Linked DNA regions of Struthio camelus. Each later gene encodes a partner of the first gene's protein in a complex. Links are inferred from orthologs where the notes say so. Each region holds a gene or a part of one and is shown on either strand. Other genes may lie near its edges. The genes, in order: PLK1, KNSTRN, MIS18A and SPAG5.

Region 1 (6,914 bases):
TCTTCTGCCAAGAGAACAGTTTATTAGAAGACGTTTTAAGGCATCCTGCACATGGCAGTAAGCAAGTAAGGCCAAAAGGCAGGCAAGTAGCTACTGCATCACTTCTCTGCCTTCCAGTTTGAAGCCAAGGAGATCAGTTGGCCCCTCACTTTGAACAGCAGTAGAATGACAAAAAAGCAAGTTACCTAGGAAGGCCAGTGCTTGTGGGTTTGTCCCCAGGCTCACCTTGTCTCACAGCCACTCTCTCAGATGGCTTGGCTGAGTTGACTGCAGTCAACTGCTGTAACATGTCCACTAAGTGACAGTCAACAGCATCTCCCAGCTCCCGCAGCCCAGCTACATCATCTTTTTCAGGCAAGCTCTCTAGTGCAGGGCTGTCTGGTCCTGGGCCAAGAAAGAGAAGAGTGTGGAGGCATTACCAGGAAGTAGGTTTCTAAAGGCACCAGCTTTACATTCAACCCTAGCTGTAAGAAACATGTTACACACCATATAGCTAAAGCTAGTGCTGACACAGCCCAGACTCAAAGCAGGGAGGAGACCTCCCATTCACAGTGTACTCCAGCTTTTCATGAGAGTCATGAAGATGTGAGGCAGTATCACATTCCCCACCAAAGGTCTGGATATTGCCAGAGGCCAGGTAGGCTTTCAACCAGCACTGCAGCGCACAGCCCTCGGCTCCCAGGTGCTTGCGCTCACCTTTGTTGAGTGCAGTCAATGGCTTTCGCCCATTCAGTTCAAGCCCACTGGGAGCAATTGAAAACCTAGGTGCGACGGTGAGACAACTGGTGGGCAAGCGGTTAGGGATGTATCCTGATGTGAAAAATTCATCATTCAGCAACTCATCGATAGTTGGGCGTGTGGCAGGGTCAGACCTCAGCATCTTCTGGATGAGGTTAGCAGCTACAGGGTTGATGTGCTAGGAGAAAACAGAGGCAGAGTTAGAAACAAGAAAAGTCAAGGAAAAGTGTGCAAAAGGAGCAACGTGCACAGGGTGTGCAACATGGGGACAGCTCTTCTCAAAGCAGAGCTCCTGTGCTGCAGCAGGCACACAGGACGCCAGCCTGGGGAAACAGAACAGCTCACCAGCACCTGTACAATCTCCTGGCAGAGTTCAGAGCTTTAAGTCAACTGACTAGCAAGACTGAACCAACAGTGGAATAGAGCAGGGGGACCTGGTCCAGACCTCATCTGTGGCTGGACTTGAGCAAGTTAGTTTACCCCATGGCCTTTTCCTCCATGTGCCAGCTGCCCAGCTCAGATTTTTGATATGTCAAGGAGGAGCTGCTGGCTCCTCAGTAGGAAGCTGACCCCACAGGTCTGTTCTACCACAGACTGAAATATCCCCTTCATAGCACTCAGCAAGGAGAGCTGTTTCACCATTCTGCAAGAGCTCATTAAGTGTCAGAAGCAGAATGCTGCAGAAGGCAACCAAAACCTGCTGCAAGGTTGAGTCCACCCACAGGAAGTGCCATACCTTGGGGATGGTATATTCATTCTTCTTAATTCGGATATAAGTTTCCTTTAGACAAGAGGTTTCAAAAGGTGGTTTCCCTACCAGCAGGGTATACCTGTGTGTTTAAGGACATAGAAGTGTGTCAGTTTTGTATGAGGCAGCCTGCAGGGGGACTACAACACCCCTGGTCCAGAAGCAGCCCCATCCTGAAGTGCCTCCTGTGACTTCCCAATGACTTCCTTGTTCCCTCTGCCAGGAAGAGCTGGTACAGCAGGCAGAAGTATTATTTCTAGCTCCTTCTCCCAGAGGGGGGGAGTTGGGATTTTGTACCCCTGGAGAAAGTTCTGGTTAGGAATAAGGGCTTTTGGGAAAAATACCTCAAGACAGCCCCCATGTGAGCATATTAGCCGAGCAGGTCTAACAGCAGTGCTCAGCCAGGGTGGGTGCTCTGGAGACAGCATGCCCAAAGCTTCAGCTTATACCAAAACCGCCAGGAGACCTGGAGCACAGGACAGCCCAGTCATGGGGGGTGCTTTGACTCACATGATGCAGCCAATGGACCAGATGTCCACCTCAAAGCTGTGCCCCTTCTTGCCCAGCACCTCTGGGGCAATGTAGTTGGGGGTCCCACACAGGGTCTTCTTGCGCTCTCCATCATACTCCACTTTGGTGGCCAGGCCAAAGTCACCTTTGAGACATGAGGAAGATGAGCACATAAGCCAGAGGCCCCCACACTGTCAGGGACCCCCTGAGGTCGGGGTCCCTGCTGTGGCAGGGGACACTTGCGTCACAGGCACCTACCAATCTTCACCTCCATCTCATCGCTGAGGAAGAGGTTGCCCAGCTTGAGGTCGCGGTGGATGACGCGGTGGCTGTGGAGGTACTGGCAGCCCAGGATGGTCTGGCGCAGGTAGTAGCGCACCTCGGGCTCGCTCAGCGCCTTCCGCCGCTTGTGCAGCTCCAGCAGCGACTGCGGGAGGCCGTCAGTGTGCCGGCCCCCGGGCTGCCCTGATTCCCCGGCCCCCCCAGAGCTCCCCTCCACCTGGCTCCAGGACACGATCCCCCCCAGACTCCCCCTGCCCCGATTCCCCAGAGCCCCCGGACCCCCCTGCTCGGCCCCAGGGCACGATCCCCCCTCAGACCCCCCTGCCCGGCCCGGAGCCCTCCCAGCCCCTCACCCGGCGGCGGCAGAGCTCCAGCACCACGTAGACGAAGTCGGCGTCCTCGAAGAAGCCCTGGAAGCCGACGACGTGGCGGTGCGCCAGGCTGCGGTGGATGGCGATCTCCATGGACATCTTCTCCTTCTGGTGCGGCTTCACCAGCAGCGACTTGGGCACCACCTTGCCGGCGAACACCTCGCGGCTCTCGGCCTCGGCCAGCTCGTAGCAGCGCGCGAAGCCGCCCTTGCCCAGGAACCGCCCGCGCACGTAGCTGCGCCGGGTCCGCGGGTCCACCAGCACCTTCGGCACCTCCTTGCCGCCCGCCGCCGCCGCCGCGCCGCCCGCCCGCCCCGGCTCCGCCGCCCCCGGCGGCCGCGCCGCCTTGCCGCCCGCCGCGCTCATCGGACCGCGAGGGCGCGACCGGGGTCGGGGCCGAGGGGCAGCGGAGGGGCGCGGAGCCGGCGCGGTAACCCCGGTGCGGGCGGGCGGGCGCGGAGCCGCTGCGGCGAGGGTCGGTGCGGGCGGGCGCAGAGCCTGCGGTGCGGTGCGGGCGGGCGCAGAGCGCTGTGGCCGCCGCGGCAACACTGTAACAATTTCAAACGCGGAGCCGGAGCGTTACGCGCGCCAGGGCGCTCCCCATTGGTCGAGAGGATTTAAAATCCAAGCGCCCGCCGCGACGCACCATGGGAGCGCGCCCCCGCCCGCCGCGTTTAAAGAGACAGGCACGGCGCGGCCCGGGGGGCGCGGGCGCCGCCTGGCGGCCGGGCGGGGCGCAGCGCGGCGCTGTCCCACGCGTGACCGCGGCGCAGCCTGGGCCGGGCCGGCTGGGGGGAGCCGCCTAGTGGGACTCGGCTCGCCTGCCCCGTCTGGAGCAGCTCACGTGGTTTCTGGCGTCCTTCGAGGACGCAAAGGTGCATGTGCTCGGCCCCCTGGGGCGACACGCCAACGTGGGGCTGTGGGGTGGTGGGGCTTCCCCCACCTCGGGGATGGGGAGCGCCGGGTTGGTGGCCCCACGGGCAGCCCGGCACCGCTGCATTCAGCCCCAGCAGCGTCCGCCGCCCTCGAGACCGCAGTCACCGCGTGGGCAGCAGCGCGAGGAGCACCGAAATATGGAGCGGGAGAGGCGGCTGTCTTCCCGTTTGCTCGGGGACCCTGCTCCGGAGCTGGCCCCCAGCGGTGCTGGCAGGGGAGGCCGCTGGGCTCCGGACGCCTGGTGTGTTCAGCGTTGTCACATCAGGCGCTCCCCAAGGGCCCGCGTCCCCCCGGCACACGGACACCCTTCCCCACAGGACGCCGAGGGCCGGCAGGCAGCCGTGACGCTGGACCAGCGCCGAGACCGGAGCAGGGGACGTGGTGCCTGCGCCGCAGCCTCCCCGTCCGCCCTGGGAGTGGAGGTACCTCCCATTTTGAGCTGAAAAACTGGGAAAAGAGGGCAAGTTGTTGGCAGAGCTCTCTAACAGACTTGTTGAGGTCAACCAGACAGGGCAGTTTGCCATCCACCTTAGCAGAGGCTGAAACCATCTTTGAGTTATAGATGGAAGCTTTCCGTTGTCTAAACGTCTCCCACAACAGCGTGGAAACTTCATTTACTTTTTTACAGTGCTTAATACTGCCACTCAGATGTTGATTGCTTTTCTGTGTGATAAAAGCTCTCATTAGCCTGAACTCACACAAAACCCTCCTGGCAGCACAGCACCGATATAGCATTGATAGGACACTGCAGTCAACCCTTCAGCAGAGTTCTTTTTTACCTGTTTATTATTTGTGTGTACAAGAAGGGCTCAAGAAAGCACAGGGGGACAAGTACAAGCATGCAGGTTCTAAGGGGATGACATATAATTGAGAACCAGCTCACAAAGACTGGGGCAGCATTGGACAATATTGAAATACTCAGAATTCCTCAAGGCAGTGTTATGCACGTCTATAGTTGTTTGAATCAATACCATCATTTGTGGATTTGGGAAGTCAAACAGAAATTATAGACACAAATACACAGACGATACCAGTTGCAGAACTGTCCTCCCAGTAAGGAATGCAAGTGTATTTTGTTAAGTGCATTTGGAGGGGGTTACTTTTACGAGAAACAGCCAAAGGTGACGTTAGTTTGAATCCTTTTCCCCCCGTCCTGTGGGCTGTAAGCAGCTTTTCAGTCAAGTCCTTCTAGCAGACTTAGTTTAAGCATTTTTTTGGAAGGGAAATTCATGTTACAGTTTGTACTTAGTTTTTTCTGTGAAAGAGAAATGGCAATTAGACAGCTCCGTTCCGTGCACATTTTTGAGACTCCTCCAAGCCAAGACATTGCTTGTTCATATATGGCCGCATTTCTCCAAGAACCTGGTCATCCTGCTGATTTTTTATTCTGTGGTCTCACATATTCCTGCTGTCATTTTCAGTTTCTCTTGTGGCACCTCTCCCTTCCCTCTCTGTCCCGTGGGGGTGAGATTCTGACAGCTGAGTGAAATTGTGCCTGACCTTGTTAATGACTTTTTCACCTTCCTCGTCCCAGTCACCACATGGGATACTATTTAGGAAAGAAAATAGCAGCAATGGACCACATGTGCACTAGGGCCTGGAGAGCTTGTTCCTGTAATCTAAGAACACCATCTGTTAAGAAAAATAACTTTAGTGTATGTACTCACCCCTTAATCTGATTTTGCTGCCTGCTGGCTCAGAACAAAACACCAATGAACAATAACCAAGAACGGCACAAGAACAGGTCAGCTGTAGCACCTTAGGCCATGAGCCTGCTCTCTCCCTCCAGGCATGCATGGTCATACGCTGAAGCCAGGATGAGGACACAAAGGAGCAGCTGGATCTCCCCCCCGAGCACTGACTCAAAGCATCATGTAAGTGTAAGTATGCAGTGGGAAGGTCTGGCTCTCGGGTGTTTTGTGGTCCCGCAGGTTGGCAGAAGTTTGGCTGTGGGAGCAATGCTGTGCAGCAATGGGGAGGGTGAGTGGGCTCAGAGCACGTTCCAGCCAAATTCCAAACAGATTGTGTTTGCTGCACTGGCTGGTCTCACTCAGCCAGTTACAGTGAGTACAGTTACCCCTGATTCTAGTAGCAGGCAGGTATTACAACCACCAGCAGATGACGGTGGACACAGAGTAAAAGAGAAGCGTTCTGAAGCCCCAGTTTTACATTCCTGAGGACTTTAAATGCCCCACATAAGAGTGACCAACACAAATAGCATGTCCCTCCAGTCTTGGTCAGAGCAAAGGGGAGTATACAGGACTGATGAAGCAACATAGTGGTTTACTGTTTGAAGTGATTGCTTTTTGCCAAAAGATTCTTGAAAGAAGGCATTCACATTGCCCTCCCCATCCCTTTGAGCATCATGCTTCCCCACGCACCTACAGCTCCTCTTTGGCTGTGCAGCAAAGCCCTCTCTTGGAAGTCACGTTTCATTGCACTTCACTAAACTGAATGTTGACATCAGAAAACTACAATTCCCAGGGGCTGTAGAAGCATGCTGCAACCTACTGATACTCCATCATTCCAGAGAGCTGGCAGAGGTGTAGAGATGAGCCCAGGTCAGAGTGATGCTTCAGAGGACAGGAGGGTAAAGTGACCAAATCTAAGGAATGTTAACATTGCTGAGTATTTGAGATCTTCAGTGGTGACTTGTTTTTAGACCCTGGCAGAGGCCACCTTAACAGAGACAATAAAACAGGTTTTAATCAGCCTGCTAGAAGGAAGACAAGGCTGAGAAACGTGTAAGTGGCTATACAGTTACATATCCCTCACTGCACTACAGCTGTGCTGTTCAAGTGATGATGGAAGTACATCATTCCTGAGACCTTTCCAGATGCAGTCCCATTTCCTCTCTCAAACGCATATCCCTTAACTCAGCAGCCCTCCCTCCACCCCTCCTCCAGCAGCCTAGCTTCATGCTGCCCAACTGTGGTCGTTAATCAAGCGATCCCAGTGAAATGTACTATGTAGTGTTAAAACTTTGAAGTGACACCATGGCAACACAGCACATATAGGCCCTTCCTGACCAAATACAGTGCTACTTCACACACTTCAAGAGACAGCTGATAGCAAGTTAACAGTGCAAAGTAGTACGAATGAGTGGCAGTATAAACGCCTAAACATCTGACATGCATACAATCTTGCAAGAATCTCCAAGCCTGTGAGGCGTGGTGACTGAGGCAGCCTCCTACTGCTCCTTACAGCAAATGGCTTCTACAAGGGTCAGTCAAGATTTTTGACAGGAGGAGCTAGTCATATTAGCAATTGAAGTCAATTAGGAAGCTGCCTGTAGTACAAGTGTCAGCAGCGCTTACAGCTTCATACTT
Region 2 (7,526 bases), on another chromosome or scaffold:
TATGGCACAATAGCACACGGAAGAAGCATAAGCTTACATACACCAAATTAACTGAGTTAGTAATACTAAGAATAATGTCAGTGTCCCTCAAATTCTTAGTGCCCAGCAGTGACCTAAATCCAAGTTCTTAACTACTAAAATGCAGGTATATACACTCCTGAAAAACCCCCATCTTCAATACTGTATGCAGTTCCCACACCACGCTTCTTGTGATGGGGTAACAGAACTAGCAGAGATTTGGCAAAGGGAATAAGGATGATCTAAAAAAATTGAATAGCTTATCTGCTGTATGAGGAGAGATGAAGTATGTTAGGAGGTCAGGATGAAAGAAAGAATTAACAGACCAAGTCTTGAGTGGTAATTACTAAGAGATTGTTTACAGTTTCTCACAATGTAACAAGGGAGCATCTGTCAACACTGAGGCTGTTTTATGCAAGCATATAATTGTGAACTTGAAATGTTCTCCTGCAATGAGTTTAAGATGGAATTGGAGCACTGATGACTATTTAACAACAATCTGGATAATTTGGCATTATCTAGCCAAATACATCTGCATTTCTGCTGATAGACCAATGATATCCTGCTAGGACCTGTCAAAGAAGAAAAGATCCAGCCTACTCTTACACTCTACTAGCTTCTGATGGAGACAGAATAACAAGCAAGCATTTGGTCTGACCCTATAGAGGGCAGAATATAAGAATTGCTCAATTAATGTTTTTCTCCTTACCTGTGCTCCTGCTAGTCGGGAGTGCAGTTGTTGTTTAGCTGTTTCTAACAGCTGATTCTTGGTCTTCAGCTCTGTCTCTAATTTGTATCTGCTTAGAGGTCTGTAGAGTCAAACATCAAAGACTTAGGTGCAAAAATATCAGCGTTACATACCCCTTCTTTTATTTTCACCAAGTGTCGTCCTTTGAGTATTTGCTCTCGTTCATGACCAAGAGAGCTTTCATCAGTACACTTGCCAAAAGAAGCTGTATGTGGGGGAGAACTCATCATAACTCTTTGAGATGGAACATTGTTGCATTAGAGCAACTAGTAGCTATTTGAGAAAACATACCCTCTTGCAGCTGTCTTTTTTGAAAGTGGTTCCATTTTCTTGGCAGATTTAGGAAGCCTTAAAAAACAAGAAGAATACTATTACCACAGAAAGACACTGCATATTTACAGATTACCAAGTCTGCTGGTTTGAGAAGAACTGCAAAATGCTAAGCCACTTTCAGGATATTTATCAAGTAACAAATCCATCACTATTTCACTTTCACTTACCCTTGGTTTGTAGCTTTGAAGACACCATCTCCCGGCATATTTGAGCTAAAGTTAAAATTGGGATCCTTGCTAAATTGTAGATCAGCTGTTTTGCTGACACATTGTTTCTTTGGTGGAAACACCATTTGCATTTCTGCAAGAGAAAGACAGCAATGAAAATACCACTGTCTGCAAGAGATCACTGTAATGTGCCAAACTACTGGAGCTACTAAGCTTTCAGTTTGACAAAAAAAAACATCTTACAGGGTTAGAACTGAGAAAGCAACAACTAACTAACAACTAAATTCTACTCATGGTTCAAAACAAGCCACAGATAGCTCATGGCAGACAGTGTTAAAATATAATTACTAGGCTAGCACTAATAGGATAAAGCTTGAAAACAATAATGCAGGCATGATAGTAAAGGAGGTCTCAACATTAGGCAAACAGCAAGCCACAGTGTTCCAAGCAAAGCTGTGCAGCACTGAAAGCAAATATATACAGCCCACATGAAATTCTCAGTGTAAGAGAGCTTTGTATTTTAATTTCCAATAGATATACTTTTGAAATAACTCTAAAGAGAACTAGCTATTTATGTAAAGTTTATTTGGCCATAAAGCACATACATACATGCATAGAGTAAATAAAGCTTTGCTTACAGAGTGGCTTTTCAGAGCTTGTTTTGTGAGCTAAGCCTTTCTCAAATGGCATATCTATATCCAATTCATACTAGAGTTACACAGGGCAGGGGGGGTTCTATTCCTACACACTGGCTCTCATGTTCTAAATTTTAAGTCTAGGTGCCTCATACTTATAACAGGTAAAATGCTGCAAGTAGTATCTGAAGACCTACAGAAGTAAGAGCCTCTGAAGAAAAGTATTTTTAACCTCACAAAGCCACTGCATCCAGATAAGCAGGAGATACACCCTCGGCAGGCCTAACATCAGCACCAGACCAGCAGTCATCTCAAAAGGCTCAGCTGTGATTCTGATAGTAACAGCCCACCCTCCTCAAAAACACAGGTTTAGCCAAGAAATTTTAACTGCAAAATCTTAAGCAGAGATGATGCAGGTGTATAATTTCTATCAGAAGGTAGCCTAGGTTAGGAAAAAACAACAAAAAACTCTTAATAAGATTTCCACAACAGCCACCACAGACCAAGGCAGTATCGGAGCTCCTTAAAAGCTGCCTCCACTCCCGCCGCCCTCTGCGCTGGCCTAAGGCAGACACCCAGCACCGAGGGCCCGGGACCTCGGGGCAGGGCAAGGCAAGGCGGGCCACGCCCTCCCTGCTTGCCTGGCGGAGCCAGGCCGGGACGCACCTGCGGGGCCGCCACGGTGGAGCGCGCCGTACACGGGGATGCGGGAGGGCTCGCTCTCCATCCTGCGCCGCGCCGCGCCGGCCCTCCCCTCAGCGGCCGCCGCCCGGTGACGCCTCTCCAACGGCTGCTCGCCTGCAAGCCCCGGCACAAACACCCTCACCCAGAGGCATCGTACGGCACCGCTCGGGCGTCAAGGCCCATTTCCCCATCCCTCCCCCCGCCCCGCCTTGCCCAGCGCCCCCTCGCCACCGCAGGGCGGGAAGAAGAGGGGAGACGGGAGAGAAGCACAAGAACGCAAAGGCACCTACCGCGCTCGCGCCGCCCGTTTGAATTCAAGCCGGCGCCTAACGGCTCCCGGGCGCGGCACATGCGCAGGCGCCGCCCGCGCGCTCGCCCCGCCCGCGGAGGCGGTGGTGCTGGCGCCGCGCGCAGGCGCAGTGCGGAAGCCGGGGAGGCGGGCAGGGGGCCGTTGTGTTGGGGGTGGGGCTGCGCGCGTGCTGTCTGCCTGCTCTCGCCTCAGGGGAGGGGACGTGGCGGCGGCGCTGGCGGCGGGGCGGCTCTGGCGGGGCCGGGCTCCATCTCGCTGCGGCGGCTCTGACGGGGAGGGTTTCAGGGGTGCCCTCCCCGCCGCCTGAGCCCCGCCGCTTGGGAACTCGGGGCAGCGGGGGCCCTGCGGGCCGTGCCCTGGGGGGAGCTGGGGCCACCCCCTCAGCGCTTTGGGTCGTTAAAGTCGCCCTCCCCTTGGCCCACACCGAAAGGGAGAAGGAGGCTCCTCTATAAAATCCGTTTGCTTGCTTGCTTCCGTGCTCTCATTGTTTTTTTCCAAGCATAACTTTCAAAAGGGGTGGCAAATCCTTCCAAATAATAAGGGGAGGCTGTTGTGCGGAGAGCAATTGGCTTGGTGTTGGCTTCGCGGCTTGAGTGCGGGTCCGCTTGCCGAAATACCGAGCTGAGCACCCAGCGTGAGAGCTGCTCCGCGAAAATGCAAACCCCCTCAGCGAAATTGAAATCAGTTACATGTTTCAGGTTGGGTTACTAGCTGTAAAAGTGCAGATGCCTAATCTACCTTTGGCAATCGCCATCCCTTTCCCACAGAGCAGGCAAAACGACTGTGGGTGTCAGAAGAATGAATCTCTTCAGGTGCATGTCTTCCTTTTGCTGATTATATTGCAAAAGACATGAGACTCGTAAGAGATGAAGAAAATGAGCCACGGTATTGGTGAAAATGAAGCATCACGCAGATTTAGGAAAGTTTGTCATACGCATTTATTTTACGTTAACCTGTAGAGAGAATGTTTTTCTTCTTTCAACAGATAAAGGCCAGGAAGTGTTTGTTTTTCTGTTTGTTTCTGGTAGAGAAAAAAATGTAAAATTCAAGAGTTGTCAGATATGCAAATTTTAAAAAGTTACATGTTTATCTAGAATACCTTGACTGGAAACAAGCTATGAAGACAAAACACAAAGCGCCCAGGACAAGGACACTGTTTTCTCAAAGGGAAAATCTCACGTTGAAAATCTTTGGCTGTACCAGAAGGAATTTCTTCTGGTAAAACAAACTGAAATTGTTACTGAAAATACATTTGGGCTGGGTTTTATTTTTATAGCCTCCGTGATCAGTAAAAGACCATATCAAGTGAAAAGTCTTGATGAGATTGTTTGAAATATCTAAAGTGTTTTGTAGAGATCTGTGAACCTAGACTTCACATAAAACAGTTTCGGAATCAGTAGAAAAAAATGAAAGCCTTTCTTTTTGTTAACAACTCTCTTCACTTGATATCTAGATTTTATATATATATATATATATTTATTTATTTATATGTTTTAAATATGACTTCTCTGTCTTTAAATATCTGGAGAGACTCATCTCTCAGTATTTCTCTCCTGTATGGGTCTGACAAGAAAACAAAATCTAATCACCCTGTAGGAAATGACAGAGAATGTTTACTTGATAAGCTCTGCAGTACAGCTGAGTATGTGGAACAGGACACTGGAAGGTCAAAGAGCTTGTACTGCGTTAAGATTGATCCCCTCACTAGTATTGGATTTGCTGGTTCTGTGAAAACACAGGTGTTTGCACGGCTAAGAAATAGTCTCAGCTCTAGGAGAAATGGGAGGAAAGATGTGATATTTACAGTTCAGAGGAGATTTTGCCTTTCTCCTTTCCCAAGCAGTACGGTTTATTTCCTGCAAAATTTCAACTGCTGTAACCAGCATTTTGTGCACTAGATCGTTTGATCCAAACATCAGGCATATCTGGTTGGCTGTTTGGTAACACAACTGGATCTTCACTCCCTAATCCAAATCGATTTTTCCATGAGGAGCTGTTTTGCTGTGATGCTACTGGCGAGATATCAAACACAGTCTCCCTCAGGTCCAGCCGCAGGGTATCTCTCTTCCCGTTCAAGTAACCTCTTTCTGTTTGACTGTATGAATCTGACAGCTCTAAAACATCTGGACAAGAACTGGCTGATTCAGCAAGTTTTAGGCCTTGCTCAAAATCACTAATTGACGTCTCACTGGAGATGTTGAGCATGTCAAAAGAGCTGCCAAGAGAACAAAGGCATCTGTGAATTTTGTAGATGTCAGCAGCAGGAAGATGACTGTTGTCTGAGGTATAATCTGACTGCTGCTGGGCAGTGTCACTAGAGCACTGTGATTTATTGAGCTGCCCGTCATCTTTCACACCAGCCAGTTGGATGTGGTCCAGCACAGACTCGTCCCAAGCTTTTGGACCGTACTTTTGACATTGACAATCTCTACAGAGCCTCTCCCTTTGAATTTCTGCTCCTGAGCTGCTGTGCTTGTATGGAGAAGACGTCTGTAAGGCAGGGCACTGACACAGACCAACCTGCTGGTCTCCAAGAGTCTCCTGCAGATTCTGTCTTTCTCTTTCAAGAGAAGGGTGCATTCCTGTTCTGGGGCATCTGTTGTCTTCCAGTTGTGTGTCTTCAGACAGTACTGATGGCCGATTGGACAACTTGCTTGTGGAAGTGCTGTTGTCAAAACTGTCACTGAGTTTTCTGGACAAGGGCTGGAGCTCATATTGCTCATTTGCAGTGTTGGACTCCTGGACCTTACGCAGTCTGTTTTGCTTCTCACTTCCCCCACAGGCAAAGCTTCCATTCAGCCCAGAGTCATCAGAATAGTCTTTCATGGTGTGGGCACAAGGCCAAAGGATCTGCCCGCAGTTCTTCTCTGGGCCAAAGAAGCAGCACAGTGACTGGAAGAAGAAGCTGGCAAACCCACAGCTGATACACTTGATCATCATTATGAATATCCCCAGCTTCCTATACGCCAGGACGGTAGCCGGCAACATGATGACCCCTGCAGAGAACAGAGCAGAAGCTGCCATGGCTGTGGCACAGCTCATCTGCTTCAGGGAAAAGGCCACTCGGCTTAGGCGATCAGAATGGGGGCACAAATGGTAGGAGATGCAGTAGTTCACGGTAAAGTCAACGGAGAGACCTACTGCAGCTGAAATGAAGAGAGATTCCACTGCATTGAGCTGCCATTCCAAGAGGACCAAAAGGCCAACAGTTACCAGGACGGTGCCTGCAATAGCAGTAACGGAGAAAACGCTAAGGAGAACGTTCCAAGTGGTGAGCAGCAGCACTACAAAGGAAATGGCTATGGAGAGCCCCATGACCACCATCGTTTCTGTGCTAAGACTGTGCTGAAGATTGTATAGCTCTAGTTTACTGGTAAACCATCCGTTTTGAAGCCCCACGGGGGCAGTTTTCATTTCCTCTGTTATCCAGAGGTTGATTTCCTCGTAGAAATGTTTGGCTTTGCTGTAATTGAAGCTGTAGTGATAAATAGTTTGAAACTGTAGCACTAAGGCAGCAAGATTTCCCTCTCCGTCAAACCTGAGACCCAGATCATATGTTTCAGCCCCTTCCCTACCTTGTTCCAGGAGCATCATTTTGATGCAGTGTAGGAAAACGTCGCTTCCGTACGGGAAAGAGAACTGGTTACAACAGAGGTTGAAGCTGTGGTCTCGTTGGGAGCATTGGCGACTGTCCATCCACCTGAGAAACTCCTCCATGAAGCACACGGTAGATTTCTGCTCAGCATCGGGGTAATAGAACGTTTTGTTCTTCACTTTCTGGCAGAATTCGAGGAGCCACTTCTGGGCATCGGGATTTTGGATTGTAAAGGTGATATCTGTCACTAGGGTGCCATTGCTTTTTGGATTGAAATGATCCCCATTATCCACAGGCAGAATGCCCCATACTATTGTGACAGGCATACGCTGTCCTTCTCCGTGCTCCAGCCTCTCAAACATGAATTGGTGACAGTACTCGGAATCGTACCTCTCAAAAGGATGGCTCAATCTAAACACCTGAACAGATGATGTCTCAAGAGTAGGCAGTTTGAGCTTAGGGTTGGAACAGGAAATGTAGGCACCTCCTATTGCTAAGGCTGCAAACCAGCAGATCCAGATGTACCGAAACTTTATGACCCCGCAAGGCAGAAGCTTCTCAAATAACAGCTTGGAGGTTTCACACAATGTGTTCTGGAGACCCCTGAGAATGTAATGGAGGGAGACAATAACTCTCTTATGGCCAGTGTTGTTCCAGTAGTCTTCCGGCTTGTAAATGCAGTTTGTTGCTATGTAGCGCTCGTACAGGACAGCAGAAGAAGGAAGCCAAGTCATCATGAATACCAGGTTCACCAGTACAGAGGTGCCCATGTAGACAGCAAAGCAGCGGATGGCTATTATATTGCTAATGTAGCTGGCATAGAAAGCAGCACCTGTTGTGAAGCAAGATGCCAGCATTAGATATGCAAAATGGTGCATGGTTTGACTCACCCACTGAGGAAGCCCAGCAGAAGGGTTCTGGCTCTTGCTGAGGTTCCAGAGGTCAAAAAAGACAAAGGTATGATTGGCACAGATGCTGCTGAGGATTACAATTGCTGTCAGGTTTACAAAAGGGAAGTAGGTGAATCTGAAGGCCA
Region 3 (7,409 bases), on another chromosome or scaffold:
AAAACTTGATTCAACTACAGTCAGCCTCGCCTCCAGTGCCTTTAGTATGGTGTCTGCCTATAAAGTAAATAAGGAAAGATACTTGGTACTTCACAAAACAAAGAGCAAGCACTTTCTGACATGTATGCTAGAAGTCAATCATGTGTTATCAATCCTATTGGATTCTTTTCCCACTATCTGCACAGTCTAAAAGTTCAGTCAATTCTAATATGACCTCTCAGCACTCTCTAGAGTCTGCTATAGCTGTCCTCTCACTTTGAAGCAAGAATTCCACACATTCAGCTTCTGCTATACAAATGGCAGCTTTCAGGGCTAATCTGGTTATCGTATGTGCTCTCAGCTCTCCCTATCCACAGTCAGGAGACTTCTAGAGGAAAGTATCCACTCATATTTATTATGCAATACTTCAATACAGAACAGCAGCAAAAGCAGTGAATCCGTTTACATGAAGGATAGGATTCTACAGAAAAAATTTGATTAAATCAGTCTTTAAAAAAAAAACTGGAGAAGCAAAACAAAGCTACAAGAGGCAAGCAATGGTTCAGACTTCTGACAGAGATAGGAATCTATAGCTGTATTTGACAAATAGAAATGCTTCTTAAAATTATAATCAAAGTCTTACCTAACACAAAATACTAACAGCATGAGTGTCACAGAGTACAGTAAAAATGCACAGAATTGGGTCCAATTGAGACTATAGCTTGTTTTGTAGAAACTAAGGATATGAAGATTCATCTGAGGTACACAACAAGCGATGTAAGATTAAACCTTACCCTTTCTAGTGCTTCTTCCAAAACAGCTCGACTCTCAAGAGTTACAGGCTCCTCATCAGTAAGAGCTTGCTTTTCCGAGGATCCTAGAACGTAACTGATATGCTACAGTTTAGATCATGCACTTTCTGCTCTGAATGCAAAAACAAACATAACTCATTCATTGTTCTCAGTGATTACAAGACTATGATTAATAAGTTACCAAAGCAAGAGCATGATTCAGCAACAAAATCCATACTTAGAATCTTGCAAACAAACTATAAAATGGAATTAAAGCAATTTTAAGCTCAGAACTACTAAGATACCATCACTGTATAACAGTTGGAACTCCAAAAGACAATCATGAGTTCTGATGCTACAGCGTAAGGTGAAGAGTTATTCCAACATTGAGGAGACTGTTGTACTAGCCGGAACAACCAGTCATCACCATTATTGCCTACCCTCCCACGCCCCAAAAAGACATTTTGGGACCATGGTACAATCTTTCAGAGAGCTTTACTGCCATGGAAGAGGCAAAGCAAAAACCCACCATTGCCTGAAAGAGGGAAGAGAACATCAATACAGATGCAACAAAATACACTGGAACTTAATAAAAAGCAGAAATGCTAAACTTAGTCCCAGGGAGAAATAAAGGTGAATTATCCAAACATTAACAAAGTAAGAGCAATAGAAGCACCCCGGTACGTAGACTTAAAGTATTCACTAACTTCATCCTGAATTAAGACCTGCTTCAAGTGCAATAAACCAAATAAAACCAATACAACGGCACATCTTCAGTTTCTAGACAATCGAGTATAAAAAAGTTTGTGCACCGTAAGAGAACTGCAGAACAGATACTAAGAACCTCAATTACACAATGAGTGTCAGGATTCACTTTCACCTTTTTTCACACCTAGACAGGTTAAATTCTACTTCAGGCCCTGTGCCTATCTTTTCTTCTGATAATACTTACTTCTAGTAGCTTTAAGTTAGGCCTATTCAGTACTATTTGAGAGAATAAGGTAGTTTTATGCCAGCTGGAGTAGAGCATCTACATACTCTTTTGATCAGACTAGAAGTAACGCCCATATTGCTTACCTAGTGTTACTTCTGTGCTTGGTATGCAGTTTCTTATACAAGAGAAGACCCTGGTATTTCTATTTTTCTAATGTTTTTTTCTAGTATTACACAGATGACATTTCTATGACTTCAACAGTACAATGCTGGCAGCAGTAACACAAAAAATTACCCTGGAAAGAGATAACTACCTCTAGATATTCCAGTAAAACTAACAGCAGCAATCCATATAAATGATACCTAGAGGCATCCCTAAAAATGCTACCTTTACCTTTCAATGGAGTCAACACTGAAGCAGAACAAGTCTCTCTTGTAGTCAAGATGCTTTGGTGTGCACCTGTAGACATTGCCAAGTATCATTGAGCAGCCAGAGCAGGACAAAGTTTCAACCATGCTGTAAGGAAAACATACAGCATTTATTCAAAGGGGAGGGGGCTTTCCCCACACCTATTCAAAAACAATTCACCTGCTTGTGATCTTCAGAGGATTCACTCTCAAATGCCACACTGTAACTACGAACATTTATCTTCCAGCCAAGGTTCCCAAAGCAGACCCTCAGCCCGATGACCTCAGCAAGACTAAGAGGTAAACTTTAGACAGGCCACCTGGAGGAGCTGCTCTAGGCCAAGGCCCCCCGGCCTTCCTCAGGGACGGCGGGGTGGCAGCACCCGACGAGCCGCTCACCGGGCCCCTCCTCGGCACCTTCCCCCGCCCCGAGCCGCCCACCCCCGCCGCGACACCGGGCCTCACCATCCGCACTCGCCGGGCCGCTTGGAGAGCTTCTGCTCCTTGTCCACCGAGACGCTGGCAGACGCATCTGCGCGCAGGTGGGGAGGGAAGAGGGACCAGCGGTCACCAACGGCCGCCCCCAACGGCCGCCGCCTCGCGCGCGCGGCGGGGGGGGGGGGGGGGGGGGAGGGAGGGGGCAGGGCAGGACTCACTGCGCAGCAGGATGCAGCCCGCCTCCTCGTCGTTGGTCACCCAGCTCAGCGTGTCGCCCACCGGCCGCTTGCAGCCGGCGCACAGGAACACCATGGGCAGCAGGTCCTCGTCCGCCCCGCGGCCGCCCGGCCCCGCCTCGGCCGCCGCCTCCCGCGCGCCGTCCGCCTCCAGCAGCGACAGGGAGGAGTCGGGCCCCGCCGCGGCGCCCGGCGGCGCGTACAGCGCGCCCGCCATCGCCTTCAAGCGGCCCGCGCCGGAAGCGGCAGTGACGCCGCCCCAAGAGCCGAGGCGGCCGCCCCGCCCCCGCCCCCGCCCCCCACCCTCCCCGGCTCCCGCCCCGCCCGCGCGTGAACCCCGCCCACACGGCGCCCCGCATGCGCGGCCCCGCCCTCTCCCCCTGGGCGCGCTCAGGCAGCCCCCACCCCCACCGCCGCCCTGTTGCGGCCGTTGGCGCCGCTAACGGTCGCGGCGGGCGGCTGGCGGGCGGTCGTCGCCGTTGCTGCTGCCCTCAGCTAGCCAGGCCTGCTGTCCTCGGCCTCAAGATACGTCGAGAGGCACGTTGGGAGGGGCCTGAATGCTCTAGTGACGGGGAGGCGAAGCAAAAAGGCTTGCTGCGGGTTTGGAAGGCCGCTGGTTTTGTCCAGTCTGCCGCATTTTGTTGCTCGCGGTTCAAGTGATGCCCCAGTGTGCTCCCCACTGTAGAGGGGTGCCGAGAGGCCCGATGTGCCTCCGTGCCGCCCGCCAATCCAGGGACTGGGCCTGGGTGAGCAGCCCTGACTTGCCTAGCCCTGACTTACCCTGTAGCTTTTAGGAATGCAGGTAAAAGTTCACTGAGGATCTGTTTCTCTTTTAAAGTGAGAAATTTTGCTAACTTTGATGAAGCAAGTATACGTGTGTGTTTGCGTAGACACTGACAGTGCCGTGGGCCGAATGCACAGGGCAGTTCGACTACCTTTGTCTTGACTGGGAGACTATTTCTCCATCCATTGCTTTTGGGTGGGGGAGGGGAATAAAAAAGTGCCAAAGCAAAATATATGGTTATTTCAATACATTCTTTATATCAGAAGTATTTTACCAGTTCTTACCTGCTTTTTAGGTCAGCGGAAATTCAGAAATTTCTTTCAGCTCAGCTATTTTCAGTGGGTCCAGAATATGTTTCCTTGTTGCTAGTTTCTCCCATGGTTGGAACGCAGTTGGCCTGTGTCCATGCCATTCTTAGTTTACTTTATATCCATCTCAGTTAAAATATTCTGAGGAATAACATAATTGCCCGCCAGGAAGAGAGGATTGTATTTAAAGGCTGCTGTTACATATCTGTCCTACATTAATGTTCCTTTCTGCTAAATGTTTTTTATTATCAAGGCAGTCCTTGAGCTGCAGGACTCCAGAGTGATTTACATAGGCATCAGTTATGCAATCTCTTTCTGAGGGCGCTGAAGTACAATGAAGCAAAGTATTTGGTTGGAGTTCTGAGCTGATTTAAAATGCACTACTGAAATGGCTAACAGAACAAACTCATCGGAGTATTTTTGGTCTTATGAATATTATTGGGATTATATAGATCCAATTCCAGTAGATGGAAGGAAGTTGAAGGTTAATAAATGTAAGTATTGTAGAGTGGTAGATGCTGATCTACTACAGGAAAAATGAGTTGGCAAAATATTGCATAGTCTCTCTGACTTACTTTTTTCCTTGTAATAGATACCATGCTAGCTTATTTGTACGTGGTTTGAATGGATGAGTGTCTGTGTTCCAAACTATCTTAACTTACGTACTGATAGCAATTTCTACTTATACTGAAGCTATTTGATTTATTTTACGGTATTTCAAACTGTAAGACTGCTGACATTAACTCTGATTTAGAGGACGGATTTTTTTTTTTTTGACCATTTGCTAAGTAGAGATCTAATGACATGCAAATCAGTATTTTGGGGTGTTCTTTATCTGCATGCTACCATCAGAAAAGATGACGGAATGAACAGATTTGTTCATAAGACTATAGTGTTTTCCTCTTGGAACATAAAGCTTATGCTAGAACTGATTTAAACACCGTTAGAGCCTTGATAAGAGAATAAGTTTATGCTTTCACCAGCCAGGAACAGCAAACTGAAAACATATTCTATTACTTTTTTCCCTTTGAGCTTTTATTTGGCATCCATCTCTAAGCAATCCTATTGATTTTTGTACTAAACCAAAAATAATGTATGAGAAAAGCTATGATTTAGTACTCCTGAACTGTAAGACAATGTAATAATACACATTATTGTCCACATACATTATGATCATGGAAACAGACTCTGCGGGTTTTAAAAGTTTATTTTCAATGGATATGAAATAACATTCACCGAATCCAGTCATATTAACAAAGTATCGGACTGTTAATTCTGTTGCATGCTTGGTTTTACACAAGGACATAGTGATGTCTTTTTTGGTTACTTAACAGGGAAGGTCGATTTCTTTCCTCTTGTAATTGCATTGGTTTGATTTTGATAAGATAAAATGACAATTCATGTCATGAGGGATTAATGTAACCCAATATAATTGGACAGAGTTACAATGATCTAGGGAGAGCGGGCAGGCATATCTGAGTCACTCAGGCTATAGGCAGTATCTCCCTCCCATTTCTGCCAAGTCTCTATCTATGGTATCCATCAAACAGCTATGGACATTGCTGGTTGCTATGTAGTTTACCAAAGACTCTGATTACCCAGGTGTGGTTTCACGGACCAAAATAGCTTTGAACAAGGTCATTACAGTGATCTAGTCTGTAAGGAGTACAGGATACTCTGCCAGAACATTGTCATGTCTTTGTAATTAACAGTGCCAGAAACTGCCTTGTTGACAGTGAAGACTGAACCGGACAGTACAGGAACGACCGTTCATACCATCCACTTGGGGCATCTAGCTTAGGTGCCTGTGCTGGTAGCTTGGTGTCTTTGACCTTGCTGTATCGTCAGCGGAAACACTTATTTCACGTTGCCTGTGGAAAAGCTCTGTTTCCACTGAAAGGATATGTGGCAAGGGACACATCTGGCAAGGGGTGTCAAGGACAACAAGAAGGGGTTCTTCAAATACATCAATAGCAAAAGGAAGACTAGGGAAAATGTGGGCCCGCTGCTGAATGGGGCGGGTGCCCTGATAACAAAGGATATAGAGAAGGCAGAGTTATTGAATGCCGCCTTTGCTTCAGTCTTTACTGCTGAGGCCATTCCTCAGGAATTCCAGACCCTGGGGACAAGAGAGAAGTCTGGAGAAGGGAAGACTCTCCTTGGTTGAGGAGGATCAGGTTAGAGATCATTTAGGCAAGCTTGACATCCACAAATCCATGGGCCCCGATGGGATGCACCCCTGAGTGCTGAGGGAGCTAGCGGATGTCATTGCTAGGCCACTCTCCATCATCTTTGAAAGGTCATGGCAATCAGGAGAGGTGACTGAGGACTGGAAGAAAGCCAATGTCACTCCAGCCTTCAAAAAGGACAAGAAGGAGGAGCCAAGGAGCTAAAGGCCAGTCAGCCTCACCTCCATCCCTGGAAAGGTGATGGAGCAGCTCATCCGGGAGACCATTTCCAAGCACATGAAGGACAAGAAGGTGATCAGGAGTAGTCAGCATGGATTCACCAAAGGGAAATCATGCTTGACCAACCGTATAGCCTTCTGCGATGGGATGACTGGCTGGGTAGATGAGGGGAGAGCAGTGGATGTTGTCTCCCTGGACTTCAGCAAGGCTTTTGACACTGTCTCGCATCACATCCTCGTAGGCAAGCTCAGGAAGTGAGAGCTGGATGAGTGGACAGTGAGGTGGACTGAGAACTGGCTGGGTGGCAGAGCTCAGAGGGTTGTGGTCAGTGGTGCAGAGTCTAGTTGGAGGCCTGTAGCTAGGGGTCAGTCCTGGGTCCAGTCTTGTTCAGTGTATTCATCAGTGACCTGGATGAAGGGACAGAGGGCCTCCTCAGCAGGTTTGCTGATGATACTAAACTGGGAGGAGTGGCTGACACACCAGAAGGCTGTGCTGCCATTCAGAGGGACCTGGGCAGGCTGGGAGAGGTGGGCGGAGAGGAACCTCCTGAAATTCAACAAAGGCAAGTGCAGGGTCCTGCACCTGGGGAGGAATAACCCCAGGCACCAGGACTGATTGGGGGCTGACCTGCTGGAGAGCAGCTCTGTGGAGAAGCACCTGGGAGCCCTGGCGGACAACAAGTTAAGCATGAGCCAGCCATGTGCCCCTGTGGCCAAGAAAGCCAATGGTATCCTGGGGTGCATGAGGAAGAGTGCTGCCAGCAGGTGGAGGGAGGTGATCCTCTGCCTCTACTCAGCCCTGGTGAGGCCTCACCTGGAGTACTGTGTCCAGTTCTGGGCTCCCCAGTACAAGAGAGACATGGCGCTACTGGAGAGAGTCCAGCGGAGGGCTACAAAAATATTTAGGGGACTGGAGCGTCTCTCCTCTGAGGAAAGGCTGAGAGAGCTGGGCCTCTTCAGCCTGGAGAAGAGAAGACTGAGAGGTGACCTCATCAACGTGTACAAGTGTCTGAAGGGGGAGTGTCAAGAGGATGGGGCCAGACTCTTCTCCGTGGTGCCCAGCGACAGGACGAGAGGCAACGGGCACAAACTGAACCATGGGAAGTTCGCTCTGTGAGGGAACAG
Region 4 (7,060 bases), on another chromosome or scaffold:
CGCCAGGGCTGCATCAACGCTGCCCGCTTTGCGGGGGCAATAGCATCTTCCCCAGGCCTGCTGCCCTGTTTCCCCCCCCCAGAACAGGCTCGTGTTCAGCAAAGTCATCGGGTTCAGCAGCGCGACCTGCGCGCAGCCAGGCGCGATAACTGGGAGAGGCAGCTGGAGCGGCGGTGGGCGCGTGACGCAGCGGGCCCCTGCCGCAGCAGCCCGGCACGCGCGTCCCTGCTCGCCCCGCTTTACTTCCGCTCCAGTTGCGCCCAGCGCGACCGCCCGCTGCACTCAGCTGCGGCCCCGCCAGCGCTGCGGGCGACACGCGGGCACCGCCGCGGCGCCGAGGCTCGCTCCCCGCTCGGGGCGCGCACGCTCGGCGTCACCCCGGCGCAGCCCCTTACCCCTTTGGGGTGGGTGACGTCCGTCTGCGTGAGCGCGTCCCTCTGCTCCGCCGGCCCCACGCCGGGAAGCGGCCGCTGGTTCTCCTGCCAGTCGCGCAGCTGCAGCGAGAGCGCCTCGATGATGATGAGGGTGCTCTCCAGCCGCCCCTCCAGCTCCGCTCGCGGCAGGGACTTCAGCTGCTCCCGGGGACAGCTAGGGAAGGAGAAACACCTGAGGGCCCGGCCCGGAGCAGGGGCACCCCGCGGGTGGGGTGGCCTGCCGATGGGGGGGGACCCTGGGACAGCGCATCCCTGCAGCTCCGTTGCTGCACAGGGACTTACTGCCAGAGCAGAGAGTCCGTTTCGGCAGCACTGTCCTTGGCACAAGCAGGCCCTTCTGCAGACGTGTTCGTGCTCCTCTCCAGCAGGTCCCGCGGAGTCATGAAGGTCCCGGTGGCCACGGCGGGCACAGGGGTGATGCTGGTACCGACGTCCTGCTGCAGCGTGGGCAGGGGCAGGCTGTGCCGCAGGGACTCCAGCAGAGACGAGGCGTTGAGGCTCTTCTCCAGCCACACCAGTGGCATCACCCAGGACACGGCACCTGGGGCCAGCTCAGGCGAGGGGACAGAGGTGGCCGCAGGCTCCGGCCCTGCAGGCTCCAACCCACCTGCCTTGGTGGGAGAGGGCCCAGGGGGGTCCTGCCCCGGCGGAGAGGTGGTCGGGGACGCAGATCCCCTGGAGGAGCCTTTGCAAGGTGGGGGACCAGCATCCCCGTCACTGTGCAGGGGCTCGGGTGCCGTGGGGCTGCAGGAGAGGTCAGTGGGCGTCGTGGGGCTGCAGGAGAGGTCGGCGGGCGCCACTCGCCACCCGTGGAAGGGGGCTTCCTGTGGGGTGGAGCTGGTGCCGGGGGGGCCCAGGGTGCAGGATGCTGGGGTGGTGCTGCCTGGGGAGCCCAGCGGGGTCCTGCCATGGGGCCTTGGGGTGCAGGACACTGTGGAGGGGCTGCCAGGGGGCTCTGAGGTGGCGTTACCAGGCAGCTCTGGGGTGCAGGGGCCTGCAGGGGTGCTCTCAGGGGGCTGCAGGGTGGCACTGCCAGGGGGCTCTGGGGTGCAGGACCCCGTGGGGGTGCTCTCAGGGGGCTCCAGGGTGGCACTGCCAGGGAGCTCTGGAGTGCAGGACCCCACAGGGATGCTCTCAGGGGGCTCCAGGGCCCTGGTGCTGCCAGGGGGCTCTGGGGTGCAGGACCCCACGGGGATGCTCTCAGGGGGCTCCAGGGCCCTGGTGCTGCCAGGGGGCTCTGGGGTGCAGGACCCCACGGGGATGCTCTCAGGGGGCTGCAGGGTGGCACTGCCAGAGGGCTCCAGGGTGGCACTACCAGGGGGCTCTGGGGTGCAGGGCCCCATGGGGATGCTCTCAGGGGGCTCCAGGGTGGCACTGCCAGGGGGCTCTAGGGTGCAGGACCCCGTGGGGGTGCTCTCAGGGGGCTCCAGGGTGGCACTGCCAGGGGGCTCTGGGGTGCAGGACCCCACGGGGGTGCTCTCAGGGGGCTCCAGGGTGGCACTGCCAGGGGGCTCTGGGGTGCAGGACCCCACGGGGGTGCTCTCAGGGGGCTCCAGGGTGGCACTGCCAGGGGGCTCTGGGGTGCAGGGCCCCACGGGGGTGCTCTCAGGGGGCTCCAGGGCCCTAGTGCTGCCGGGGGGCTGTGAGGTGCAGCACCCTGGGGCAGTGCTGCCAGCAGGCTCTGGGGTGGGGCTGCTGGGGGGCTCCAGGCTGCAGGGCCCCGGGGTGGGGCTGCCAGGGGGCTCCAGGGTGGCCCTGGTGCTGCTGGGGGGCTTTGGGGTGGCATTGCTGAGGGGCTCCGGGGTGCATGGCCCTGGGCTGGCACTGTCATGGTCCTGCAGGACACAGGGCAGGGGGATGTCAGCACTGCCCCTCCCCAGTTACCCCCCTCCAGCTGTTCCCCCAGTATCCCCAGTTCCCCACCCCAGTACCGCCAGCTGTCCCCTCCACCATCCCTAGCACCCCCCGCCATTGTCCCCTCCCCCAGGTCCCCCAGCACACCCTGCCACCCCCGGCTGTTACCCCCCCCGCAGCGCCCCCACCCCCAGCTGCCCCCCGTGTCGCCGGTCCCCCCCAGCACCGCGTACCTTGAGCCGCAGGCGGCGGAGCAGCGGCGTGAGGCAGGTGCGCTCGGCGCCCGGCTGCAGCCGCAGCTCCCGCAGCGGGGCGCGCCCGGGCCGCCGCGCCTGGGACACGGCCGTCACCGCGGGCACCGGGGCCGCCCGGGCCCCGGCCCCCGCGCACCCCCCCGCCCGCGGGGCCCTACGGGGCTGTACTGGGTCCGTGCACCGCGAGGCCTCACCGGCACCGCCGTCCCGGTACCGGGCTCCCCCACCCCCGCTCCCGGGGCCTCCCCTCCACCGCCGCACCGGCACCCCCCTCCCAGCCGGGGCCCACGCCGACCGCCACTCCGGGACGGGCCCTACCGGGGAGGACACCCCCCGACCGGGACCGGGACCCCCCCAACAGACCCCCGGCTCAGGACGCCGGGGCACTCACGGCGGGCGGCTGCGCAGCTCGCATGGCCCCGCTCGCTCGCTCCCTGCCTGCCGGTTCGGATCGGCTCGGTCTCGCCGCCGCCGCCGCCGCCGCTTCCCCGCGCGCCGCCGCCGGGCCCCGTTTGAAAACCACGCGCGGCTCCTATTGGCTGCGCCGCCCGCGCGTCACCGCGCCGGGGGCGGGGCCTAAGGCGGGGCCGCGGGGTAAGCCCCGCCCCGCGGCGCGTCGGGGCGGGGCGGAGGCGTTTGTACAGCGCCGAGCACCGGGCGGCCGACGGCGCGGCCGGGCCCCGCGGGCGGAGCGGCCGTGTCCTACCCGTGCGCGGCCCTCGCGACGCGCCTTCGCCCTCCCTCCGCTGCCCGCAGGGAGACGCCTGCTCCGGAGCATCCTGCTCTGGCCTCCCCTCCGGCGCGCCAGGCGACTCGACTCCGGGGCAGGGGGTGATGCCCGGCGGTCTCTGGTTTATTGCTCCCGCCGAGCGCGCGGAGAGGTACGGCGTTGGTGGGAAAGGGGGCACTGGCACGGCGGGGTCCGACCCGGTGCCGGAGGGGGGTTTTTCCCTGAGTGATGGCGAAGAGGGCCCAAGCGCCAGGCACGGCCTCCGGCTGGCAGGGCCCAAGCGCGGGCTCAGCCAGGCCAGGGCCGGCCCGCAGGGGCGGCGAGGTCGCAGTCGAAGTCGTCGAAGGTGACGGCGGCCTCGGGCAGGGGCTCCTCCACCGGCCGCGGGGCCACGGCCGCCTCCACGGGGTCCTTCTGCAGCAGCTCGGCGTCGAAGGCCATCCCCCGGAAGAAAGGGTGGCCCTGGAAGTGGTGGAGGTAGCGCAGGCGCCGCAGTGGGTTTCGGCACAGCAGCTGGGGACGGAGGACACTGAGCCACAGGGACCCCGGCGTCCGGGCCGGGGGGCCAGCGGGGACCCCGGCGTCCGGGCGGGCAGGGGTACCTCTGCGAGCAGCCGGGCCAGCGCCGAGCTGAGGGCACCCGGGCTCTCGTAGCTGCTGCAGTTGACGCGCTCCAGCATGGCCACGTGGTCCGGTGCTGGTGCCACCGGGAACTGGGGGGGGGGGGGGGGGCACGAGGCGGTTTGAGGGGCTCCCCGGGGCGCCCCGGTCCGCCACTGGCCCCCGTGGCACTCACCTTCCCGCTGGCCAGGGCGAAGAGCAGGACGCCCAGGGACCACCAGTCAGCGGTGTGGCCGTAGGGGCCCCCGCTCAGCACCTCGGGAGCTGCGGGGCCAAGGGCAGCGGGTGAGTGCCGGGGACGGCCGTGCCCCCCGCCGCCCCCCTGCCGTCCCCTTACCCATGTAGTGCAAAGTGCCGCAGATGGTGCGCGCCCGCTCGCCCCGCCGCAGGTGCCGCGAGAGCCCGAAGTCGGCGAGCTTGAGGTGCCCTGCGGGGCGACAGGGGCAGTGTCGCGGCGGGGGCCCCGGGGCGCAGGCCGTCCCCGCACCCGGCACTGCCGGTCTCTCACCTCGCTCGTCCAGCAGGATGTTCTCCATCTGCAACGAGACGGAGGCCGGGCTGAGCCCCCGCCGCCCCGCGCCCACCTGGAGCAGCCCCCGCGCCACCCACCGCTCTCACCCACCTTCACGTCTCTATGCACAATGCCGAGGTCATGGAGATAAACTGGGGGAGAAGACGGAGCCCGGTCAGCACGGTGGTTCCCCTCCTGCACCCGTCCCCACCGCCGGCGTGGGGCCACCCTGCAGCGAGCGCGCGCTCCCGGGCCACGGCTCACCCAGGAGGCAGGAGGCCCCCGGCCACAAGCCACTCACCCAGCACCAGCACCAGCTCAGCGGCGAAGAGGCGGACGGTGGCCTCGGCAAAGCGCCCGGCGGCCAGCCACCGTGCGTGCAGGTCTCCGGTGCTGCAGTAGGTGCACACTGCAGGGATGGGGCGGCCAGGCCTTACCACCGGGCTGCCCCGCGGCACCATGGCCACGTAGGCACCGGGAACGTGCAAGAACCGGGGCCATGTGGGCACCAAAGTGACAAAAGCACTAGGGCCACCTGGGCACCAGGGCCAGGGACTAAGGTGATGTGGCACCAGAGCCACACAAGTACTGGAACCACGTACCAAGGTGACATGGGCACCAGGGCCACCTGGGCACTGGGAATATGCAAGCACTGGGACCACACAAGTGCCACAGTGACAAAAGCACTGGGACCATGTGGGCATCAGGGCCATGCACTAAGGTGACATGGGCACCAGGGCCACCTGGGCACCGGGAACTTGCAAGCACTGGGGCCATGCGTACACCACAGTGACAAAAGCACTGGGACCGTGCAGGCACTGGGGCCACACGGGTACCGAGATCGCTCAAGCAACCGGGGCCACCTGAGCATCGGGGCCAGGTGGGCACTGGGGCTGGAGCAGCTGGCTCAGCCCTGCTGCCAGCCCTTGCCCGGCCCTGTCTCCCCCCTGCCCGCTGGGGGCTGTGGCCACGGTGCCTGCTGGAGGGGGACGGCGGGGGGAGAGGCAGCCGAGCGTCCCCTGCCCGCCGGGCGGGCAGCAGGGGAGGCGTGCGCGTGTGCAGGGCGACACGTGTGCGGGCAGCTCCAGACACGTGCGCCCGCACGCAGGGCCAGGCGGGGGGCGCGGGGGGGCCGCTCCAGCGAGCCCGCGGGGCAGATGGTCACTCACTAATGAAGAGGTGGCGCTGGCCCTGCCAGCTGTCCCCGAGGCAGTGAACAAACGGGTGCCTGACCTGTCTCTGGGGATGCAAAACAGAGAGGGTGAGTGGCCCCCAGGGTGGGGGCCCCGCTCCTGCTGCCCTCCCGGGGCACCCTGAGCCCCCTGGGCGCCCCGTGACCCCGTCCCCTGTCCCCCTGTTTCCCCGCTACCTGGATGCTCACTTCCTCCTTGCACTGCTTGAGGGTGTCGCGGCGCAGCACCTCCACCTTGGGCACGACCTGGGGGCGAGGGGCCGTCAGGGAGGTGCCTAGGGTGGGGGGGCCGCCCCCGGTCCTGCCGGCAGCACCCACCTTCACGGCGCAGACCTTCTCCCGCCCGCAGTCCAGCACTTTGAGGATGGTCCCGAAGGAGCCTTTGGCCACGAAGCCCAGGATCTAGGTGGGGAGCAGGGCCTGAGCACCCCGCAGAGCCCCCGCGAGAAGCCAGGAACGGGACCACCCCAGCACAGGGCTATGCAGGGGTGCGGGTGCCCTGCAGCAGGGACACCCATGCACGGCTGGGGCACGCGGGGGTTCTGCTAGAGGGCAGGGGCACCCTGATAGGGGGTGAGGGGCAGGGCACAGGGTACCCAGGAGGGTGCCCAGGCACGGGGTGAGGTGGGGGCACGCGAGACCCCCAGCATGGGCGCATGGTGCCCCACAGGCACATGGGGAACCTCGGCACGGGGCGCAGGGGGGGGCACGGGGATCCGGCAGGGTGCACAGGGATCGCGGTAGGATGCATGGGAACCCCCGCTTGGGACACACAGGATCCAATAGGACACTCAGGACCCTATTAAGGTGCACGGGGACCCTGGTAGGAGGCGCAAGGACCGACATGGGGTGCAAAGGGACCCGGTGGGATGGTGGGGACCCGCCACGGGGTGCAAGGGGGACACCGGTGGGATGCAGAGGGAGCCGCCACGGGGTGCAAGGGGGAACGCCGGTGGGACGCTCGGGGAGCCCGGTGGGACGCTCGGGGGCTCGGGACGGCACCTTGAGCTGCTGCTGGCGGGCGGAGGGGCGCACGGGGAACTCCGGCAGGAAGAGCGAGGCGAGCTGCGGCCCCCCGGGCACCGGCGGCTCCTCGGCGGCGCAGCGCGCGACCAGGGCTCGCCCCGACCCCGGCCCCGGCCCCGGCCCCGCGCGGCCCAGCAGCGCCCGCACCCACGGCGCCACGGCGCGGCCCTGCGGGACGGGACGGGGGCAGGGGCAGAGTCAGCGCGGGGGGCCGCGGTCGGCGGGGACCCCCGCGCCGGCCGGCACCCCCGGGGCCGCCGCCGCACGCACCTGGGGGGGCCGCGCCGGGGCCGGGGCCGGGCCGGGGCCGCTGCTCGCTGCTCCCATCGCGCCACCGGCCGGCCGGCACCGGGCCGGCCCCGTTAATCCGCCGCTTTACATAACCCCGCGCAGCACCGCCCCGCGCCGCCGCCCCCCCGGCCCCGGCGGCGCGCCCGA

The links.
Region 2: PLK1 (region 1) and KNSTRN share a complex: the UniProt entries of both Homo sapiens proteins name them as parts of the astrin (SPAG5)-kinastrin (SKAP) complex. The link is inferred for Struthio camelus from reciprocal best matches to the Homo sapiens genes PLK1 and KNSTRN.
Region 3: the proteins of PLK1 (region 1) and MIS18A are in contact, whole or in part, in a crystal structure (PDB 8S30), measured with the Homo sapiens proteins. The link is inferred for Struthio camelus from reciprocal best matches to the Homo sapiens genes PLK1 and MIS18A. Residues at the interface, in NP_005021.2 of Homo sapiens: Lys413, Trp414, Val415, Asp416, Asp419, Leu490, Leu491, Arg516, Asn533, Phe534, Phe535, His538, Lys540; in NP_061817.1 of Homo sapiens: Ser50, Met51, Trp52, Ser53, Ser54, Met55.
Region 4: PLK1 (region 1) and SPAG5 share a complex: the UniProt entries of both Homo sapiens proteins name them as parts of the astrin (SPAG5)-kinastrin (SKAP) complex. The link is inferred for Struthio camelus from reciprocal best matches to the Homo sapiens genes PLK1 and SPAG5.

The regions. Positions count from the first base shown.
Region 1 is NC_090956.1:1,058,327-1,065,240, forward strand, and holds the start of PLK1 (serine/threonine-protein kinase PLK1), read right to left. Parts: upstream 3,016-6,914; coding exon 2,632-3,015; intron 2,424-2,631; coding exon 2,255-2,423; intron 2,142-2,254; coding exon 1,997-2,141; intron 1,569-1,996; coding exon 1,475-1,568; intron 917-1,474; coding exon 697-916; intron 385-696; coding exon 226-384; intron 5-225; coding exon 1-4. Other genes in the region: DCTN5 (dynactin subunit 5), read right to left, coding at 6,244-6,264. UniProt on the Homo sapiens protein: Serine/threonine-protein kinase that performs several important functions throughout M phase of the cell cycle, including the regulation of centrosome maturation and spindle assembly, the removal of cohesins from chromosome arms, the inactivation of anaphase-promoting complex/cyclosome (APC/C) inhibitors, and the regulation of mitotic exit and cytokinesis.
Region 2 is NC_090946.1:4,863,295-4,870,820, forward strand, and holds the start of KNSTRN (small kinetochore-associated protein), read right to left. Parts: upstream 3,001-7,526; 5' UTR 2,937-3,000; coding exon 2,876-2,936; intron 2,700-2,875; coding exon 2,568-2,699; intron 1,400-2,567; coding exon 1,267-1,399; intron 1,115-1,266; coding exon 1,058-1,114; intron 828-1,057; coding exon 728-827; intron 1-727. Other genes in the region: DISP2 (protein dispatched homolog 2), read right to left, coding at 4,762-7,526. UniProt on the Homo sapiens protein: Essential component of the mitotic spindle required for faithful chromosome segregation and progression into anaphase.
Region 3 is NC_090942.1:119,787,327-119,794,735, forward strand, and holds the start of MIS18A (protein Mis18-alpha), read right to left. Parts: upstream 3,018-7,409; 5' UTR 3,003-3,017; coding exon 2,768-3,002; intron 2,644-2,767; coding exon 2,577-2,643; intron 2,221-2,576; coding exon 2,098-2,220; intron 868-2,097; coding exon 774-867; intron 58-773; coding exon 1-57. UniProt on the Homo sapiens protein: Required for recruitment of CENPA to centromeres and normal chromosome segregation during mitosis.
Region 4 is NC_090957.1:16,565,705-16,572,764, forward strand, and holds the start of SPAG5 (sperm-associated antigen 5), read right to left. Parts: upstream 3,019-7,060; 5' UTR 2,958-3,018; coding exon 2,934-2,957; intron 2,621-2,933; coding exon 2,522-2,620; intron 2,270-2,521; coding exon 717-2,269; intron 589-716; coding exon 396-588; intron 1-395. Other genes in the region: RSKR (ribosomal protein S6 kinase-related protein), read right to left, coding at 3,561-3,785, 3,875-3,985, 4,069-4,157, 4,231-4,320, 4,402-4,429, 4,516-4,556, 4,706-4,813, 5,574-5,643 and 4 more. UniProt on the Homo sapiens protein: Essential component of the mitotic spindle required for normal chromosome segregation and progression into anaphase. Required for chromosome alignment, normal timing of sister chromatid segregation, and maintenance of spindle pole architecture.